6 linked regions of the Oryctolagus cuniculus genome follow. The protein of the gene in region 3 interacts with the protein of the main gene of each other region in a pairwise test. Links are inferred from orthologs where the notes say so. Each region holds a gene or a part of one and is shown on either strand. Other genes may lie near its edges.

Region 1 (3,500 bases), on a different chromosome or scaffold from region 3:
TCCTCTCACTGGGCTTCCTTTATAAAGATACCTCATGTTCACACTGTAGAAAATCTGCTTTTTTTGTTTTGGGCTCACAGCCTATCAGTGCAATAGAAGGCATTGATGTATTTGGAATATAATTTCATTTCCCTAGCGTCCTTTTCTTATTATCCTCCAATATCCTTCAGCTTTAGATTAAAGAAGAGCTCAAAACACTGCTGAAAATGATTTACTTTTTACAGAGGTAGAGAAAATGGACTCTAGATAACAAATAAGTGGTTCAAAGGGTGTTACAAAAAAGCTTGTCAAAAATACACATTAACTTTTTTTTCTTTTTCACAGGCTGAGTTAGACAGTGAGAGACAGAGAGAGAGAGAGAGAGAGAGAGAAAGGTCTTCCTTCTGTTGGTTCACCCCCAAAATGGCCGCCACAGTCGGCATGCTGCGCTGATTCGAAGCCAGGTTCAGGGCCCAAGCACTTGGGCCATCCTCCACAGCCTTCCTGGGTGACAGCAGAGAGCTGGACTGGAAGATGAGCAACCGGGACAGAATCCGGCGCCCCAACCGGGAATAGAACCCAGAGTGCTGGCGCTGCAGGCGGAAGATTAGCCTAGTGAGCCGTGGCAAAGGCCCACATTAACTTTTAACTCAACTTTTCCATAAAATTTTGAAGCCCCTTCACATCTGCAATTATGAAGTGATATGCATGTGTACTAAAATTATGTGTGATAGATCTGTGCACACATCAAGGCTAATTATTTTGAAATTTTTTAATTCAAAAAATTAACTAATTAATTAATTTGAAAGGCAGACAGAGAGGCAGATAGAAATATCCTATCTTATGGTTCACCCTGTAAATGACCACACACAGCCAGGGTTGGGTCAGGTCCAAGCCAGAATCCAATAACTTAATCCAGGTCGCCATGTGGGTAGCAGGGACCCAATCACTTGAGCCATCACCAGCTATCTCCCAGGGGCCACATTAGCAGGAAGTTGGAATTGGGGCAGAGTTGGGACTTGAACCCAGGCACTGCTTTACAGGATATGGATGTCCCAAGCAGAATCTTAACCACTATGCCAAACGCCTACTCCCTGAAATTATTTTCTATTTTACACTCTAACATCTTGATATTAACCACCGTGAAATACAAAAGCAGAATAGGCTTACGTCATAGTCGCTCCCGGATCGGCAGTCATTTGATTGGTCACAAAAACAGCCACGTTGTATTCTGTATCAAAAAAAAAAAAAAAAAAAAAAAAAAGCTAAGAGAAGGGAAATACAAATATAAAACATTCATTGTAGATTTTGGTATTTAGAACATCGTACTATAGATTTATTTTAGAAACAAGATCACATTCCTGTTTTTCTCACTGATAATATAAGTCAACTTATTTAAAGTTATTGTTATTATTTAGGTTAGGATCAGTCTTTTTGGTAAAAAATATGTATTCCCATAAAGGTAATTTTATTTTTTTAAGAAGTATTGCCTCCTGACACTCTGAACGTCTCTGCAAGCACACCTAAAACACAGTCACAGATGCTACTCTGATAGAGCCATTCTATTTTAAAAATCTACCTTCTGAGATTTTTTGGAGTCGTGACAACATCTGGGCCAATTTTTGCTGCCTTTCAGCCAACTCCCCACGACCACTGAAATCCACTCGAAAAAGTGCCATTATTGAATCAATGATCTGCACAGGGTTGATGTAAAAATAAATAAGTTTATGGAATTGGAAGGAAGAAATTAATTTGGATAGGAATCAACAGAACAGTAATATGCTAAAGAGCTCTGTGAGTGAGCAATACTTAGAAGCTTGTACCAATAGCTTGAAGATGCCAGCTTCCTCATGGAACTTTGCAGCTACATAATCAAGTAGCTCCATCTGATGTTCACCTGGTGGGAAATACAGCGAGAAAATGTTCTAAGAGCTAGAAGCAGAGGCTAAGATCACTTATGTCCTTGGGAGCCATGCAAAAGAATCCTGGAAGGATTCTCTTAATGATTTATGACTTTATTAAATATGACAATTTATCAAAAAATGCTACTCTGCCTTTCACAGACAATGAATAAGAAATAATTTGAGGGTATTTTAATATCCAAGAACTTACCAGCTATTAAAATTTGTGGACTGAATTAATTTTATTTTAAAATAAAAAGATAAAAGGACAGTGTCAAAATATTTAGTATAATCAATTAGTAAATCAGTGCTTCCAACCTTATGATAACCCACACACCCAGCTGCATGGGCTCTTACTAGTATATGCACGTGCATAGAGTACGTTGTCCAGCACAGCATCATGGTCCACATTGAAGCGATCAGCAATGTCCCGAAGGCGATCCGGACGACTGCAGCAGCCAAGATTAAGGATTCAATGAGTCAATTGCAGAACAACTTAGACAACAACTACAAAACATCCTACCTTAAGTAAGTAAATTAAAAGAATGGTAAAACAATATACCTGCAGAGATATTCTAGAGGATGCTAATCATTACTTACAGTCTACATTATATTTTATTTTTCATAAATGCCTCAAATTCTCATAGAAATGATAACACTCATAGAAATGATGAGGCAGTAATGAATTTAAATATTAAATTTTGGGGTAGGCATTGTGGTGCACTGGGTTAAACCACCCTTTGGGACACTCACATCACATGTTGGAGTGCCTGGGGTCTAGTTTCATCTCCACTTCAGATCCAGTTTCCTGCTAACATGCCTGGGAGGCAGCATCTGATAGCCCAAGTACTTGGATTCCTGCCACCCATGAGAGAAGACCTGGATGGAGTTCTGGGCCCCTGTCAGCCTGGCCCAGTCTTGGCTGTAATGGGCATTTGAGGAATGAACTAGTGAACTCTCTCGTTTTGTCTATCACTCTGACATCCAAGTAAATAAATAAATAAATAAATAAATAAATAAATTTTAAAATAAATATTGAATTATCAGCAGGCATTTAGCCTAGCAGTTAAGACAAAACCTTTCTCCAGGATTCGATTCCTGGCTCTAGCTCCTGAATCCAACTTCCTACTAATGGAGATCCTAGGAGGAGGCAGTGATGGTGAGTCAAGCAGCCAAGCTCCTGCCGTCCATGTAGGCCCAGACTGAATTCCCAGCTCTCACTGCAGTAACTGGGGAGTGAACCAGTATATGGGATCTCTCTCTAATAAATAATTCAAAAAAAGTTAAATTATCAAATTTTACAATGCATGTAAGCTGGTTGGTATGGCCTATGTAACGTTTTACAAGTGAGGACACTGCCAGAGATTAGGTACATGACCGAAGATTATGCAGCAAGTCAGTTACAAGAGAAAAGCTAGAAACTAAGGTGTGTGAGTCTCTTTTGTTCTCAGTTCTATAAAAAATAGATCTATTCTAGAAATATATCACTGAGTTATAACTCAAGTCATTTTAAAGTGAAATAATTCGCTCTTCACACTTCTCATCTGTTCAGTATGAAATAGTTTAATATATCATTAATCATGTATTGCCAACAAATGATAAATACGACTGCAGGAACTA
Region 2 (3,410 bases), on a different chromosome or scaffold from region 3:
TGTGTTGTGAGCCTGAAGCTGGGAGGCTGAATTCACCGTGACCTTACACGTGGGGCAGTAGAGACGCTCCTTCTCACCCCTGCCGTCCCCACTCACGCCGCTTCCCACGGCCGCCGCTGTCGGCTCGGGGCCTAGCGCCTCTCTCCCAGGTTCTGGGGAACAGGGTGGGCAGGAGGAAGAAGAGGAAGAGGAGGCGGCATCCAAGAGGTCTGAGTGGGCTGGCTCTCCTGATGTGGGGTCCGGGGTCGACGGTAGCTGGAGTGGAGGGCCAAGAGGAGGGGTTGCAGGAGCTGCTGCGGAGATGGGAGGCATCGGTGAGGGGGGAGGCCCAAGATGATTCTGGAACCCAGGATACTAAGCACTGCCAACGGAGGGGACGGCGTAGGGCCAAAGGGTCCCTGGTGCAGGCATGACCAAGGCCGCGTTCCCCCCTCCCTAGGCAGACTCAGGCCTCCTGGGCCTCAGTTTCCCTGTCTAAAACCATAAACTTGAACAGAGTAGTCTCAGCCCCCACATCCCTGACTGCCTAATTATTTGCTAAAATTGCCAAGCAGCAATCACCTAAAAGATATTCTAGAATGTTCAGAGACCACTATTCATAACAGCATAAAATTAAAACTCCAAAGATCCATCAATAAGAGATTTAGATTTAAAAGGAGGCCGGCGCCGCGGCTCACTAGGCTAATCCTCCGCCTAGCGGCGCCGCCACACCAGGTTCTAGTCCCGGTCGGGGCGCCAGATTCTGTCCCGGTTGCCCCTCTTCCAGGTCAGCTCTCTGCTGTGGCCAGGGAGTGCAGTGGAGGATGGCCCAGGTGCTTGGGCCCTGCACTCCATGGGAGACCAGGAAAAGCACCTGGCTCCTGGCTCCTGCCATCGGATCAGCGCGGTGCGCCGGCCACAGTGCGCCGGCCGCGGCGGCCATTGGAGGGTGAACCAATGGCAAAGGAAGACCTTTCTCTCTCTGTCTCTCTCTGTCTCTCTCTGTCTCTCTCACTGTCCACTCTGCCTGTCAAAAAAAAAAAAAAAAAAAAAGGAATAGCGCTGTGATCACAAATGGAATACTGCACAGCAACAAAAAAGGACCAGCGACTACAATACACCCAGTGTGAATGAACCTTACAGGTGTTATGAATGCTGGTGAACATTCATGAGATGAACAAAAGCCAGACACAGAAACCAACAAACACTAGGATTCAACAAAACCAAGTGGAATGCACTGGTGGTGAGAAAAACCCAGGTCACAGTTAACCTGGGGATGGGGGTACGGCCGGTTGACCAGTTTCTCTCCAAGTCTACCTGGGACTGCAGAACATGACTTTCTTTGGAAATATGAGTGCCAATGAGGGCATGCTGGATTAGGGCAGGACTGATCCAGTGACTGGCGTGCTGATGAGAAGGTCACACGGAGGCACAGACGCGCAGGGGACTGGGGCCGGGATTGGAGGCCTTGTGTGTAAGCCAAGGAATGCTGAGGACGCTGGGCCCCGCCCAGAGCAGCACGGCTGCCAGAGGTGCACTTTGAGCCCGTGAGGAGGAACCAGCCCCGCCCACACCTCGACTCTGGGCTTTCCAGCTCCAGAACGGCGTGGAAACACGTGTGTTGTTTTCCAACATGCGGAAGTGAACACAGCAAGGAAACGACTGGGAGGTGACCCCAGGACCAGCTTCATGGTACCGGTGACACAGTTCCCGATCCGAGTGTGTTAGGACTGGGGCAGCCCGCTGAGCAGTACACGGGCAAGATGCTGACTGCACGAGCCCAGAAAACCCGCAGAAGGTTCTCAACTCCTGGTTGGGAACCAGACTTGGCAGGGGGCGGGGAACAAGCGTTCAGGACTGACCTTTGCTCTGTGGCTCTCTGGGGGCTCCACTGGCCGGAGTTGGGGTTGGGGACGCCGCAGCCGCCCCATCCTGGGCCGGGGTTGGTGGCCTCTGCTTGTTCTTGGCAGCTTCCACGGCCTTGAGCTTCCTGGCATGTTTGTGGCCTTTATAATGAGCCTCTGCCTGGTTCTGGGGAGCGGAAAGCATGGGGTCACCAAGCATTGGCTGAGTCCACCTGCTCTGTCCTTGAATGGGAACCGAGCAGGGGCAGGGTCCAAGGGAGGCAGGGCTCGGACCACACAAGGGGCAAATTCGTTTCATTGCCACCATCGTCACTGCAAATGTGTGGCGCTGAAGTTCCCAGAAGGTTGGCTCACACATGGACTCCCACGCAACCAGCCTCTGCTTTTGAAGTCTGGCTCAGCCACTCGCTGTGCATTTTGGGGCAAGTCAGTCCACCTGAGCCAGGGTTTCCTCATTCAGAAGCTTTGTGATGATCATCCTGACCTCTCAGCATTGTCAGAATTCAACGGGAATGTGAATTATAGGGGTTTTGCTTGTGCAGCAGGTACTCAATGGATGCTCGTTATCGAATGGATAAATGCACACACGACAGCAGAGAAGGCCTGATACTCTGGGGTATACACACTAACACATTCATCCCTCTGTTGATGTTTTTCAATAAGTGAACCTTTGCTGTCTGCCAGGCCCTGTGTCCAGCCTGCCAAGGACGTGGCCACTCCCTCAGGTGAGGTCTCCCTGTCCATCTCCTGCAGGACTCCTGTCGCTGTCCTCTGTCAACCAAGGGTCTCTACCTGTCGCTCCCCAGCCCCCCTGCCCCAGGCCTCCATGGTCCCTTCAACCACAGCAGCCGTGGCGGTATCTAGTTCGAAGCCCAGAGTTGCCCGGATAAAGTGCCTCCTCTACCTGGGTTGGGGTGGGCTGTGGTTCAAAGTCTGCAGGCCTTGGGATCAGACAGACCTGGGTTCAAATCCCAGCCTGGCAACTTACCAGGCAAATCACCTAACCTCTCTGAGTCTCGTGGCTCATCTGGAAAGTGGGGGCGATACCAGTGCCTTTACCTGTCACCTGGATGTCTCAAGAGGACGCCTGGGATGAGAGCCATAAGCACATTCTGTGACTTCTCAGGGGCTCAAAGAAACAGGGGTCACCCCGGGGCCTAGGGAGGGGAAGGGCAGTCTGCTCTCTTGCAGAAGGACCCAGAACATAGAGATGCAGAGAAGAGTGAGATGAAATCCCAGTGGGCTGTAAGGGGGTGAGGGATCCGGAGAGAGGAGAGGTAGGGACGATGACAGCACCAGGAGCACCTGTTCTGCAACCAGGGACGTCCCCCAGGCCTCTCCTGCCAAGACCCGGGCTCCAGCCCTCTCCCTGCCAGCCCTCCCACACCTGCGTCCACTCCTCCCTCTCACCGCTGAGTTGAACCTCAGGTGACAGATGTTACAGGAAATGAAGAGCTTCTTCTTCAGAGGGGAGGGGACCCCAAACGTGTGGCTGATGACAGCTTTCTGGACCGGGTCCATCTGCGAGGGGAGTGGAGGACACGATAATTCTGAGTCAACTCAGAA
Region 3 (3,058 bases):
CCAAATAGTTGAAACAGCTAGGCCTGGGCCAGGCTGAAGCCAGGAGGTAAGAATTCCATCTGGATTTTCCTACCAGGGCCTAACTGCTTGAGCCATCTTCTGCTATCTTCCCAAGCACATTAGCAGGGGGCTGGATCAGCGGTGGAGCAGCCAGGACTCAAACCAGCACTCAATGGGACAACCTGTTTGTTGTGCCTCACTCTGCCCCTCCTTCCCCCTGCAAACTGAAATTCTGTATCACATCTACAGTTTTAACTGTGGCTGGTGATCAACCATCATTTTACTAAATTATTTATGTGGGTAACACATGGATGCTCCTAGTGAAGCCCAGCAAAAATGAGATTTTTTAAAGGGATGGAATGGGGCTTTAAGTTTGATCCAAAGCCTCTATTTGCAATATTTTAACTAAGGAATTTTTAAGTAGCATATACCTTTATTTCAATATAAATGTTCTCAATCCCACCCATTTTGTCAAACAGATAGTAACCAAACTTCAGTAGTTACAAGACAAAAATTTAATGAAAATTGATCAGTGGGTTATTTATAATCCACAGGCTAAATATCACAAGACGGTAGTAGAAAGATGCGGAAGTAATTGTTACATATTGTCATCATCTGATTCATCTTCTTCCTTCAAAGATTCCTATTAAGAGAAAAAAGTAGCACTTAAAATCAACTTTAAATATTGTTACAGCCCACATGTAACAGCAAGTTAAGATACAGCAACCTGAATTTAAGCATTTATTAATGGTAACTGAAATTTAGGATGAAATTCAACTATATTCTTGTTCTGAAGATCAATGGATACTTGATGTATCCTGAAAAACCTTACAGTTTTCCCCAAGGGAAGAGCTGAATTTGGAAATCTGTTACTTAATTTGTTAAGTAACAATACATCATTTTGGTTAGGTGACTTACCTTAGCATATTTCTCTGCTTCTTCTCTTACATCTTTTGGAACAATTTCATGCCTTCCTTTAGTTACTGTAAATTAAGCCATATATTTAAATAAATTTAAAATGCTTTCCTATAAGTGATAGTCATTTGACCTTATTTTTTAAATGTTTCCTCATGAGATTTTATGTGCTCAAATTTTTATAAATTAATCCCAAGCATTAATTCATAGCATGAGATCAATTTTGGGCGATTTCTTAGATATTTCAAAAGAGATCTTCACAAACTCTGTTAAATACACAGAAATTACTTACATTCACCAACCCAGCTGAGCTCTAACTCAAAAGCTTTATCCTTAACTTCATCATGCACTATGTAAATTCTAGAAGGAAAAAACACTGGAGTCAGTGACCAAAACACTGCAGTTTACATACCCAGTCAGTACAAATTAGATTACCATCCATACCACAAGTTAAAATTATGTAGGCTGAAATCTGAATTACGAATATCAGAATAAGCTACAGAGGACTTGAAATAGACTGGAACACTTTCATTCTCCTCATAAATACTAAATGATAATTTGTTTGGCTTATTTTGATATACATTGCTTAAAAGCCATAAAAATCATCTCAAGAATACAGAAATGGGTAAAGTCAGGGTCACCACCTGAAGCCAGTAATGGGCAGGCAGCAGGTTCATGTCCCAGCTGCTTCACTCCAACCAAGCTCCCGGACATGAGAAAACCAATGGAAGATGGTTCACTACACAGAAGACCCAGATGAAGTTCCTGGCTTGAGCCTGGCCCACCACTGGCTGTTGCAGCCGTCTGGGGAGTATAAATCGATGCACGTGGAAAATAGTCTCATTTGTAACTCTTGAAATAAATCTTTAAAAACTTAAACATAAATGGGAACCAGGCCATCATTAACCATCCCTTCTCAGGACACTATTTTCTTTCATTAAGGAAATAAAGCCTAATAATTTATGTGCCCTATATAAGAACTTTTATTACATATCCGAAAAAGTAAAGCCTATATTTTTATATAAGTGAGCCAGCCTTATGGATCATGTATAGAAATAATTAACTTGTAAATCACACGATAAATAAAGTTTCTAAGCTTTCTTGGTAGTGTTTTGATTATTGTTATTTTGGGGATGTTGAGAGATTTGAGGTGGTGGAAGTTAACAAATGAAGCCCCTACGAACATTCACTATGTCCTTCACGCGTTAAATCCCGTTGCCCACACAGGAGCTTGTTTTCTCAGCATTCATTCTCATTCTTGAAATACTCATTTTCTTCATGAGGATTCTTAGAATGTTAAATTCTCTTCAAAAAATTACACACTGCTATTTTCAACCAAAATAGCCTCATATATATGCCAAGACAATGTGAAATATCTTTGTGTATAGTTAAGGAATATTTGAACTTACATTTTGGCAACTTCTTTAACAACATCACGGCAGGTCATTTCTTTCATCTACAGAAAATAAAATTATACATTTTCCATTTGTGTAACTGCACAACTGTTAGCACTAACTCATGGTCAAGATAGATTCTCAGATGTAAAAACAAAGAAATTCCAAAAAGATAAATTTCCTGATTTTTATTATTATTTTTAAATTAACATGCCAAAATTCATATTGGAGATAACCACTAATTTTCTGGTAAAACTTAGATAAGCCCAAGTCTAATTCTTAAGTAGACCCAGAGCAAAAGCTTGGTCATACTAGAATTCAACATACTTGGAGGGACTGTTGGGAAATCAGAATAGAAAAATAGCCTGTAAGCACTAACCATAACAAGTAAAGTAACCTGTAAGAAATCACTGCAAGAGATTTATTAATCATACACGTTTCAGGGTCAACGCAAAGTCTGAGCAAAGTGACATTTGTGTTGTGGATACCTTGAGATAGAGAACGTCAGAGAGTACTGAACACAGTAATCCAGACTTAAATGTCGTTCAATTACTGCAAATGGGGTTCATGATTTTTACTAATTCATTTTAGAAATCCTAAAGTTCAAATGATAGCTGTACAACCATCTGAGGAAGAAAAACACAACCCTAACACTGAGTTTAAGGATACAAATCTTGGGGCTGGCATTGTGGTAAGGCAGGTTGATCTGTTGCCTGCAACACTGGCATCCCATATGGGTGCTGGTTCAA
Region 4 (2,038 bases), on a different chromosome or scaffold from region 3:
TCTTTCAAAAATATTTTTTAAAAATCTTAAAAAAAATATCCATCAAGGCCAGCAAGCATCATACGTAACAGTGAGACCTAACATCAGTAACAAGACCCCATCACTGCTCGTCCGTCCCCTCCCCTTCCATCTTGGCCAGAGGAGTAAAACGAACAACTTCTAGGGCATAGCCACGTTCAGTCACTCCTAGGTCGGTGGGCAAAGGGGAACAGAATAACCAGGAGAGAGAAAAACCAGAGGTCAGACAATCGACTGGCGGGAGAGGTGGGTGGTGTTTGAGCACAGTGAGGGCATCTGAGGTCTCCCAACACCCCCAGGCTCTGGGGCTCTGAGTCTGAGCAGGGGAAAGAAATGGCCGGGGGGGTGACGGTGGCTGGGATCTGGGAGGGCGAGCTCTTACCGGGGGAAGTGACCCAGTATCCCTTGCACCAGCTGGGGCAGGCAACCTCTCCTACCCACAGGGAACCGTCGCCTCCACCCAGAGACATCTACACTCAATGTACAAAAGCCTCGGCTTTTATTAAAAAGGAGGTAGAAGACAGATAAGGGAACAGGCCAGACTCCCTCCTTCCCCCTACACACACAAACACACACACACACACACACACACACACAACACTGAGTGAATGACAGGGTCCATCAGGCGACAGACTGCATGGCCGAGGGAGGCAGCACCCGGCGAGAGTGGGCCCGGACCCAAGGGTGGGCTGAGACCTGGGCCAAGGTCAGCCGATCGGAGGGGTTGTGCCTGAGCAGCTTGGAGATAAGGTCCTGGGCCCCCGCGGGCACAGAGGCGGGGAACTTCAGGTCCACCTGCAGGAGGGGAGAAAGGAGCAGAAACCGCCTGTGTTCCACCCCAGTGGCCACAAAGACCCGCGCGTCCAACCCTGCCCTCCCCAGCCCCTGGCCTCTGCAGCCTGGAGCGCCGGCAGCGTGACCCACCTTGACGATGCGCCGGTATGTCTCGTTGTGTGATGCGCTCTCAAAGGGCGGGTTCCCCACCAGCAGCTCGTAGCAGAGCACCCCGATGCACCACAAGTCCACCTTCTCATTGTGCGTGCGCCCCTCAATCATCTCGGGGGGCAGGTAGTCTAGGGTGCCACACATCGTCTTCCTCCTGTGGGATGAAGGGCATGCCAGGGGTCCTGGGACCAGGCAACCATGCTCATCCACCCTCTCCCCCCCAGGCAGCCAAGAGACCCTGGGAGGCAGCAGGGGAGTGCTCCATCCAGGTCACGCCTCTGGGGATGGGGTGGGCCGGTGGCCTCCACATTGCCCCCCAGTACTTCCACTGGGGGACTAAAACAGATAAGGCAGGAGGGCAGTGCTGACGTGGGGAAGAAACCCTGGAGGCCTCTCTCATGCCCGCCAAGCGGGTTCTGCTTAAGTAGCTCGGGGTGCTTCTCCACTGGCATTAGAAATGAAGGGTGGGCCGGCGCCGCGGCTCACTAGGCTTATCCTCCGCCTGTGACGCCGGCACATCCGGGTTCTAGTCCCGGTCGGGGTGCCAGATTCTGTCCCGGTTGCCCCTCTTCCAGGCTAGCTCTCTGCTGTGGCCAGGGAGTACAGTGGAGGATGGCCCAAGTGCTTGGGCCCTGCACCCCATGGGAGACCAGAAGTACTGGGCTCCTGGCTTCGGATCAGCGCGGTGCACCGGCTGCAGCGTGCCGGCCGCGGCGGCCATTGGAGGGTGAACCAACGGCAAAGGAAGACCTTTCTCTCTGTCTCTCACTGTCCACCCTGCCCGTAAAAAAAAAAAAAAAAAAAAAAAAAAGAAGGGTGGGAAGCACCTGGGGTCAGAACTATGCGTCTCCTACTTTCCTACCGGGATTGCCCAGAGGTGCCGCCTGCCAGGGCCGGCTTCCCAGCGCCACGTACCGCAGGGAGGGCGCGTGCACAGACCAGCCGAAATCCGCGATCTTCAGCTCCCCCTGCAGCCCCAGGAGCAGGTTCTCCGGCTTGATGTCCCTGTGAATCACTTTCTTCTCGTGGCAGTAGCGCAGGGCATCTGCCAGCTCCTCCATGATCTGGGAGGGCG
Region 5 (4,262 bases), on a different chromosome or scaffold from region 3:
ACTCGATGACAGGAATGGCAGCCATTCTCCAGTGGTTCCTGGCTATGGTGGCAGCAGCTTCCTGCAGGGTAGTGTGTGTGACAACAACAATCCCGATTGTAGCAGTTTCTGCACCAGGCCAGTTTTACAGCATGGTTCTGAGCTTTGGTCTTGGAAGCTTCGCCTGGCACTACTTTCCCCATCTTCCCTCAATTCCCTGTAGAGTCACCCCTTTACTGTGTAGTCAGTCAGAGTTGGCTTCTAGTAGATTCCTCGGCTTCAAACGCTTTAGTGGCCTCCCATACATTCCAGCATGTGTCCAAATTGCTCAGCTCAAGGTGCTTCATTTCCTGGGATGTCCCTACTCTGTCCTGCACTGTGATCACTGTCACCCTGGTCCTAACACCCTTCCTCAATCCTATACTGCTTGCTACTATAAAGTCTACTGGGCAACCCTCCTCCACCTATACTTATCTCTATTAAACAAAAGCCATTTTTTTTTCACTCTGCTGCACAAGTTGATTCACTAAATCACAAATGGCATGGCCAGGGCAGGAACACGGCTCTTTGGTTTCTGTTTCTGGCACTTAGGCTGCGATCAGTCATCAACACGCAGAACGAAAGCCAGGATGTGGACAAGTGCTGCCACCTGTTGGCAGAGACGTACATGTGCAATCATTTGGACCACGGTCCTCACCCAAGGACCAGACTCGATGACATCCGGTCCCTCGCCCAAGTCATCGTCATCACCACTGTCAGAACCCCCAGGATGATCCCTGGTGGACCCCCAATCAACCCTGTCGGTATTCACGCCTCTGGGCTGATGCTCCCACGCTGAGGGGCTGGGTTTGTGACCAGAAGGCAGAAGCACTGGTGTGGGACTTCAGAGGCCAGGTGATAAGAGGCACGGTGGCTTTGACTTGGTCTCTCTCTTGGACGTCTCCCTCCGAGGCAAGCCAGCTGGCGCGCCTGGGCGGTTCGGGGGGGAAAGCCGAGGCCGCCCGCCGAGTCCTGAGCGTGAGCCGTCGCGGGGGTCGGCGCACCAGCCCATGTCCACCTCAGACGACAGCGGCCCCGGCCCACGTCTCAAGAGACCCTGAGGCAGGGCGATCCCGCCAGGCCACCCCAACTGTGGTTGCTGCTTTAAGCCGCTACGTTCCGGGGTGTCTGCTACCCAGTCTCCGACACAGACCCTCCAGTCGTAAACCCTTTCTTCACATTCTGCTGTGGCAGGAGCAAGTTAACCGGAGCCGCGGCTCAATCCAAGGAGCCTCAGCCCAAAAGTTTTCTCAGGAAACTGCCACGGCAGAAATGGGCAAGGAGCAGGTCCTTGAGCGGCGGCGACTTTCCAGCGCCCAGGTCCCGTCAGGCACCCCAGAGGGCGCCCGCACAGCCACCACCCCGGAAGTACGGCAGCCAGCGCGCCGGGCGGCAGAGTCGGCGCCTGCGCAGTGTGCGCCTCGCGCCCCCCACCTCCCAGGCAGTGCCGTTGCGCGCCGAGTCATCGATAGGAAGACTTCCGTACGGCCGGGGTCGCGTAGGCTGCCAGCTGCCCGCTCGCCGGGTGGGCTCCAGGGGGCGCCCTCGATAGAGGGGGCGGAGCGTTCGGGGTCGAGAGGCCGCGGCGGGGGACCTTGACCCGGTTACATCTGAACACCCGCACAGCCACGTAGTCGCCGCTCCAGGGAGGGTCGTCTCCCATTTATTTCCACCGTCCGGGTCCCCGCCGCCATGAAGCTGCGGGTGCGGGTTCAGAAGCGAACCTGGCCGGTGGAGGTGCCCGATGCGGAGCCGACGCTGGGGCAGCTGCGCGCGCACCTGAGCCAGGCCCTGCTGCCCACCTGGGGGTACAGGTACGCGCGGGGCCGCGGCGGGAGTGGCCCGCGGCGCGGGCGTGGCCGGGCGGAGCCGGGACACTCGGGGTGTCGCCTGCCCCCGGGGCGCGGGCACTGTGACGCGCGGGGCGCGCTGGGCTCTGCTGGCCGGGGTCGCGGCTCCTGGAGGACATGGCGCAGCCCCCCGGGGCCCTCCCGGGTGAGTGAGCGCTCGCGGCCTCGCGGGGAGCGAAACCGAGCCCTCAGCCTTGGAAACGAAACCGGGGGTGTGCACGGCCGGTGCGGGTTCCCGTCGGAAGTGAGGAGCGGGGGGCTCGGCCGGGCCGGGGTTCGGGGGTCGCCTCCGGGAACGCGCTGGGAGGGCAGAGTCTGCGCCCCTCCGGCTGCGCGGACGGGGCGCGCAGATTCGCGGCTCTCCCGACTTTCCTGGCTGCTTTTTATTTGCTGTTTATTGATTTTTGCCAACGTTGGCCTTCGCCGTGACCCTGGGCAGCCCGCAGTTTGGAGGCGATGAAGCTGAGAAAGGCTCCAGCTCCGTTGCTGGTTGACGGGGCTGCAGGGGAAGCCGCGTTCCGGGAACCACCGCTCTGGGGTCCTAGGGACCATGGCCGGGCGACACTGTTCTCAGCTGGCGAGCTGGGTTGGCTCAAAACAAAACTTGCCGAATTAACTTCTTTGATGGGGTTTCCGTTGTGTGCGTGCGCACACGTGCATCTCATTATTGTTTTTAAATGAGCACCGGTCTGAAAGGATGTGAAACCCAATATGATTGTTTGCCCAAGAGCCCAAGTTGGTTTCTCTTTCGGGTTTGTTTTTTGCAGTTCAGACTGGTTAAGTGGAACGAGTTTTAAGTTTCAGCTTTGAAAGTAAGCTCATTTTTTTCTGTACGTTCATTTTATAATAAACAGGTAGTTTTAAAATGTGTCCCTATGACATTATGTTTTTTTTCTTTTTTATTTAGTAAATATAAATTTTCAAAGTACAGTTAATGGATTACAATGGGACATTCTTATTTGTAAAGTGTCTTTACTAAGCAATTGCATCAAGGATTGCTATAAAACATTTTTGAAAAGCCTGGCGTTGCTAGAATTTCATTTTTCTGGTGAAGTTACCCGCCCCCGCCCCAATTTCAGAAAATGAAACCTTCAAGAAACTACATGTTACTCTAGAAGTAAGAGGGTGTTTCAGAATTTCTGAGAAAATGGCACTGAAATGTAAGTTCACTTTGGTACAACAATATTTTTGAAATCCACACTTTTGTTTCTTCATAATGCACGTTTTCTGTAGAGGCATGTGAAGCTGACATTTTTATTAAGCAGGCATTCATTACCTTTTCTAGAAATAGATATTTGCATGTGCAGCAGACTAGGTCCTGTTTAGAAAAACAAGCTGTTGCTGTGACAAATGCTCTCTAAACACCTAGTTCATTTGCGGTATCTTTTTCCTTTTCTGCCAGAACCAGGGTGGTGGTTTTATGGGCAGATGGCAGATTTTCAATGTTTGGTTTATTAAAGCATTTTGGAAAAAGAAGCAGAGTGACATCTTTTTCTTATAAGCAGGAATTCTCTACCAAAGACACTTTATTTGGCAAGAAAAAAATGTATTTCTGTGTGAAAGAAAGACAGATGAGTTGGTTCCAACACTTCTCAAAATGCAGCATTGTAGGAAATAGTGAAGGGAACATGGTTTTCAGAGGACTTTGTGTTTTGTTAACCTCTCAGGATTTATCCAGATTAGCCTTGCTGAGTGTCAGTGTCTCCTAAAACGTGTTGCGCTGGGTCGGTAACTATTCCTCACCACTGTGTGATGACAAAGGATGGTATTCGGCACAGCCCCAGGAATCCAGTGCAGAAAGGCCGGCAGTTCATTGCTTCAGGCTTGTGTTCTTAACTTGGGTGGCACTGAGTCTCTGGGTTTGTGCTGTCTTCCCTGTAAAAGGCATGTAACTGATCATCCATCCCTAGGAAGGTGAACTTGTACTGCAGTCTTCAACAGCGGGGGCTGGGATGAATTTGTACTCAGCTATCTCCACTTTTTGTGATTGCGAATATTCTTTTAGGATGTAGGTTCAGTATTTTGGGACCTATGTAGGCAAGCTGTCATTGAGTTAGGCATTCACTCTCATCTTTGTCTTCCCAACTAATGTTGGGAGGTTGGTATTTATTGTACAAATATATTATTTGCCAACTGCTGGAGATACTATTTGAAACTAGACGGACAAGATCTCTGATCTTATGCATCTTAAGTTCTAGTGGTAGGGGTGTGGGAGACAGGTAATAAACAATTAAATAACTGTTTTCAAATGGTGTTACAATAAAATTAAGCATGGGGATGGATTAGAGAGTGCTGGGGGCATCTCTGAGGCGGTGACACTGGAACTGACCTGGAAGAGCAGCTACAGCGGCCCAAAGGCTGCAGTGAGATTTTCCGAGTGGGGGGATGGAAAGC
Region 6 (3,500 bases), on a different chromosome or scaffold from region 3:
CATTGTAAAGTGTAGCCTGTGCATCATTCCACGGCCAGCAACCCATGTTATAGAACACCCTTTGATGGGATCTGGTGGTATGGGTCAAGCATCGAAGGTCCAGCCAACCCTCTAAGTCTAGGAAGAGGTGAAATGGAATTTCTGAACCGTGGAGTACCTATCAGCTACCCTCTAAACCCTGTATGGTGCCCCACGATTGGAGTGGAGGAGGAGGGGGCCCAGGTTCAAGATGGGAGGCCTTACACGTCCTGCTAGGAGGCATCACGGGGCCCAGCGTGCCTTGAGCTGGGCAGACTTCTGAGCACTGGTCCCAGAGAGAGCCCTCCAGCTCCTCAGTTACTACCTGGGTCCAGGAAATCTTCCAGGGATTCCGAGGGTAGAGAAGCAGAAGGGACCCTGTGCTCCCAAATCCTGCACAACCTGCGTTGGCTCTGGCCCCTGACCACATCCCCTGCATTTCAGGGACACGTCTGACCTGGGTGCACCCTTCAGGCTGGGCCCGAATAGCAGAGGCAGGGGCAGGAGATAGGTAGGCTACACAGCTGTGGATTGTTAGGGGACTAGGACTATGCTAATGGCTCCCTTCATAGTTAGACAGCCTTACTTCACCACTGGCTGAAAGGATAAGAAAAAATGCAGTTCGTGCTTGCAGTCCAGGAATCCATTCAACAGCAGGAATGAAGAATGGCAGAGATCCTGCCAGGTGTGAAACACTCTGGGGGCCTAGTGCAACGGGAGGAAATCAGAGAGAGAAGGGGTGGGCTGCGGAGCCCGGTGCGTGCCACCACGGTGGGCTCCTAGCTGTGCGGCACGGCTCACAGCTCAGGAGGGTCCTGAGTTCGGCTTAAGCCTCTGCTTTTGCCATCTTAAATGTCTTGTTAACGTTCCAACAAGAAGCTGTGCATCGTGGCATCTCCACTTTGCACTGGCCCCTGAAAACGAAAGCATTCATCCTGCTCGCAGCTTCCTCCTCCCCTCGCTTGACGGACTCCAGATGGACATAAACTGACTTTCAAACCACTGGAAGCTTGAAGAAAAGGAAGGGAAACAGAAGTGGGTGGCAGGAAAGGGCTGGAGGGAGAAGCCTCCCTGTCCCATGTCCAGACAATGCCCACGCGGGTCGAGGGAAGCTCTGGCGTCTGACCCCTCACCCCGCCCCAGAGTTGCCAACACAGGAAAGAAGGCGGCTTCACAGGGGGTTCCTCCGAGTGCGGGGCGCGCTGCGAGCGGTCAAGGCAGGAGCAGCCTGGATGCGGGAACCCAGCGTCCGGGACGTGGAGCAACAGGGGTCGAGCAGGCGCTAACACTGCGTGCACGTGGCGATGTCCCCTTCTCCCTTCTTGGCACTCTGTCCCTGACTGGGATGACACGTGCTGGGACATGCCTTGAATCAGATGCCCAATTGGGAGCAAGAGTCCCCTCATTTGGGAAGCGAAGAAGGGAAACAATGCTGGGGAAGCCTCTGGAAACCTCCAGAAGCCCGAGCGTTTCTGAGTGCCACGCTCAGAGATCTGCAGCTCATGCATTTCCCAGTGGATGGAGTGAAATCCAACAGGGTTAATCCAACACTGAACTTTAACTAAGCCGCAGAATCCCTGTGCCCGCGGTACTGAGGACTAAATAAAGAACTCTCCAGAAAGGACCCAGCTCACTGTGAACCCTCAGTCCAAGCAAGCAGTCCTGAGGTCCGCCAAGGAGCTGGTTTCAGAGTCCCTGGACCCACGCTGGGAGGCCGGTCCTCAAATTATATCTCAGCCCAACTGTCAGGAGGCAGCTGTTCTAGAAGCTTCCTGACGCCTTCCTCTGTTTGACTCATTGTCTTGTGACAGGAAGAAGGCAACAACTGGTGTCCCCCATCTAGAACAAGGGTCTTCCACAAGCCCCTCCACCCTCTAACAACCTCATTCCCCATGTGCATCTCCCACCCCTCCTGCCTGCCTGCACCCCTGGGCACAGCGGGACAGGCAGGGCAGACTCCTCACAGACGCCCAGAGCTGCGGCAAGCCTTGATGGGGTGGACCAAGGGACAGAGCAGCAGAAGGGAGCTGGGGCTGGCCACGGATCTTCTCTGAGCCTCTGTGACGCCACTGATGAGATGGGGTTGGAGCTCCCCGGAGTGCCTTCCCCGCCAGGCATGTGCACAGCCCCCGCCCCACCTCCCGGGGCCCACCTTGCACTTGAACGGCTTCACGTCGGAGTGGACGATCATGTGCGCCTTGAGGGTCTGCTTCTGCACGAAGCTCTTGTAGCAGAGGTGGCACTGGTAGGCGCGGATGTTGGTGTGGATCAGCACGTGTCTCTTCATGTTGGCCAACAGGGTGAACTCCCGCCCGCAGATGCCACACTTGTGCTCCTTCACGCCCTGCACAGAGGCGAGATTCCAAAAAGCAGCAGTTAGCCAGCTGCGCGCTCTCAGGAGAGCCAGACGTCAGCACTCTCCCAGCCACAGGAGCCCAGTCACAAAGAGCCAAGTGCCAAATGACGTGGCTTCAGCCCTGTGAAACCACTATTTTCCTTTCTTTAAGAGGTGTTCATTTATTTGAAAGTCAGAGTTACAGAGAGAGGGAGGGAGGGGAAGAGAGAAAGTAAAAGACTGAAAGAGAGAGAGAGAGAGAGAGAGATCTTCCATCCACTGTTTCACTCCCCAAGTGGCTGCAAAGGATAGGGCAAAGCCAGGCAGAAGCGAGGAGCCAGGAGCTTCTTCTGAGTCTTCCACGTGGGTGGTGGGGACCGTCTCCCATCGCTTTCCCGGGCCATTAGCAGGGAGCTGGATTGGAAGTGGAAGCAGCTAGGACTTGAACTGGCACCCATATGGGATGCCAGCATTGCAGGATGTGGCTTTACCTACTACACCACAATGCTGGCCCCCAAAGTCACCATCTTCTTGAAGAGTGTTGATTATGTAGTCTTTTATTTCTGCTGCAGACTATAAACTAGCTGGGCCACAGCAGGAAAAGAAAGCTCTAGCTTTTGTTGTTTTCTCTGCTGCTGATGCTGATGCTGGGGTTAATTCTACAGTAACAGTTCTCAGGGCTCAACAGGATTTGGGTAAGAGCATTCTAGAATGGTACGCAAAATAAATCTATAATCCAGCTTGCATGCTGATGAAAAAACATCATTTAGACTGGTATTATCATTTCCCATAGGAGAGCCAGCATCCTTCTGAGTTCTCCTAAGTGAACTTGAACATCCCAGAAGAAAAACTCTCATGTGCACCCCAATCAGCACTTGGCAGTCACCCTCTCCAGTTGGGTCCCCTGGGTTCCCTCAGCTCAGTCTGGGCTATGTGTCACGGGGGTCTGGAGCTGCTGGAAGGCAGGTACTTCCGACACAGACATTCTGCAGGGGTGGGTTTCTGAATTAGGAAAGAGGACAGGAGGTTTTCTGGTGTCCTTGCTGCTTGTGGAGAAACGTTTGCACACTCAAGCAACTGAGAGGATTTCTAGGACTTCTGGCTTGGGGAGAACATGAGCTCATTCTGACTAGCCATCACTGCTTCC

What was found.
Region 1: the proteins of PSMA3 (region 3) and DMC1 interact in binary tests that used the Homo sapiens proteins (3 or more experiments, as listed by UniProt). The two-hybrid records come from large-scale screens. The link is inferred for Oryctolagus cuniculus from reciprocal best matches to the Homo sapiens genes PSMA3 and DMC1.
Region 2: the proteins of PSMA3 (region 3) and ZNF385C interact in a two-hybrid assay, tested with the Homo sapiens proteins (2 studies listed by BioGRID). The two-hybrid records come from large-scale screens. The link is inferred for Oryctolagus cuniculus from reciprocal best matches to the Homo sapiens genes PSMA3 and ZNF385C.
Region 4: the proteins of PSMA3 (region 3) and AURKB interact in a two-hybrid assay, tested with the Homo sapiens proteins (2 studies listed by BioGRID and IntAct). The link is inferred for Oryctolagus cuniculus from reciprocal best matches to the Homo sapiens genes PSMA3 and AURKB.
Region 5: the proteins of PSMA3 (region 3) and FBXO7 interact in binary tests that used the Homo sapiens proteins (3 or more experiments, as listed by UniProt). The two-hybrid records come from large-scale screens. The link is inferred for Oryctolagus cuniculus from reciprocal best matches to the Homo sapiens genes PSMA3 and FBXO7.
Region 6: the proteins of PSMA3 (region 3) and ZNF366 interact in binary tests that used the Homo sapiens proteins (3 or more experiments, as listed by UniProt). The link is inferred for Oryctolagus cuniculus from reciprocal best matches to the Homo sapiens genes PSMA3 and ZNF366.

What each region holds. Positions count from the first base shown.
Region 1 is NC_091442.1:115,181,807-115,185,306, forward strand, and holds part of DMC1 (meiotic recombination protein DMC1/LIM15 homolog), read right to left. Parts: intron 2,330-3,500; coding exon 2,238-2,329; intron 1,877-2,237; coding exon 1,803-1,876; intron 1,674-1,802; coding exon 1,559-1,673; intron 1,211-1,558; coding exon 1,150-1,210; intron 1-1,149. UniProt on the Homo sapiens protein: Participates in meiotic recombination, specifically in homologous strand assimilation, which is required for the resolution of meiotic double-strand breaks.
Region 2 is NC_091448.1:20,728,216-20,731,625, reverse strand, and holds part of ZNF385C (zinc finger protein 385C), read right to left. Parts: intron 3,366-3,410; coding exon 3,255-3,365; intron 2,011-3,254; coding exon 1,842-2,010; intron 294-1,841; coding exon 1-293.
Region 3 is NC_091443.1:18,546,489-18,549,546, forward strand, and holds the end of PSMA3 (proteasome subunit alpha type-3), read right to left. Parts: exon of another isoform or gene 2,372-3,058; coding exon 2,325-2,371; exon of another isoform or gene 1,276-2,324; coding exon 1,208-1,275; exon of another isoform or gene 984-1,207; coding exon 919-983; exon of another isoform or gene 644-918; coding exon 599-643; 3' UTR 501-598; downstream 1-500. UniProt on the Homo sapiens protein: Component of the 20S core proteasome complex involved in the proteolytic degradation of most intracellular proteins. This complex plays numerous essential roles within the cell by associating with different regulatory particles.
Region 4 is NC_091448.1:52,686,645-52,688,682, forward strand, and holds the end of AURKB (aurora kinase B), read right to left. Parts: intron 2,028-2,038; coding exon 1,879-2,027; intron 1,118-1,878; coding exon 943-1,117; intron 814-942; coding exon 640-813; 3' UTR 501-639; downstream 1-500. UniProt on the Homo sapiens protein: Serine/threonine-protein kinase component of the chromosomal passenger complex (CPC), a complex that acts as a key regulator of mitosis.
Region 5 is NC_091442.1:110,387,761-110,392,022, forward strand, and holds the start of FBXO7 (F-box only protein 7), read left to right. Parts: upstream 1-1,462; 5' UTR 1,463-1,710; coding exon 1,711-1,832; exon of another isoform or gene 1,833-1,985; coding exon of another isoform or gene 1,986-2,013; intron 2,014-4,262. UniProt on the Homo sapiens protein: Substrate recognition component of a SCF (SKP1-CUL1-F-box protein) E3 ubiquitin-protein ligase complex which mediates the ubiquitination and subsequent proteasomal degradation of target proteins and plays a role in several biological processes such as cell cycle, cell proliferation, or maintenance of chromosome stability.
Region 6 is NC_091445.1:38,517,718-38,521,217, reverse strand, and holds part of ZNF366 (zinc finger protein 366), read right to left. Parts: intron 2,363-3,500; coding exon 2,171-2,362; intron 1-2,170. UniProt on the Homo sapiens protein: Has transcriptional repression activity. Acts as a corepressor of ESR1; the function seems to involve CTBP1 and histone deacetylases.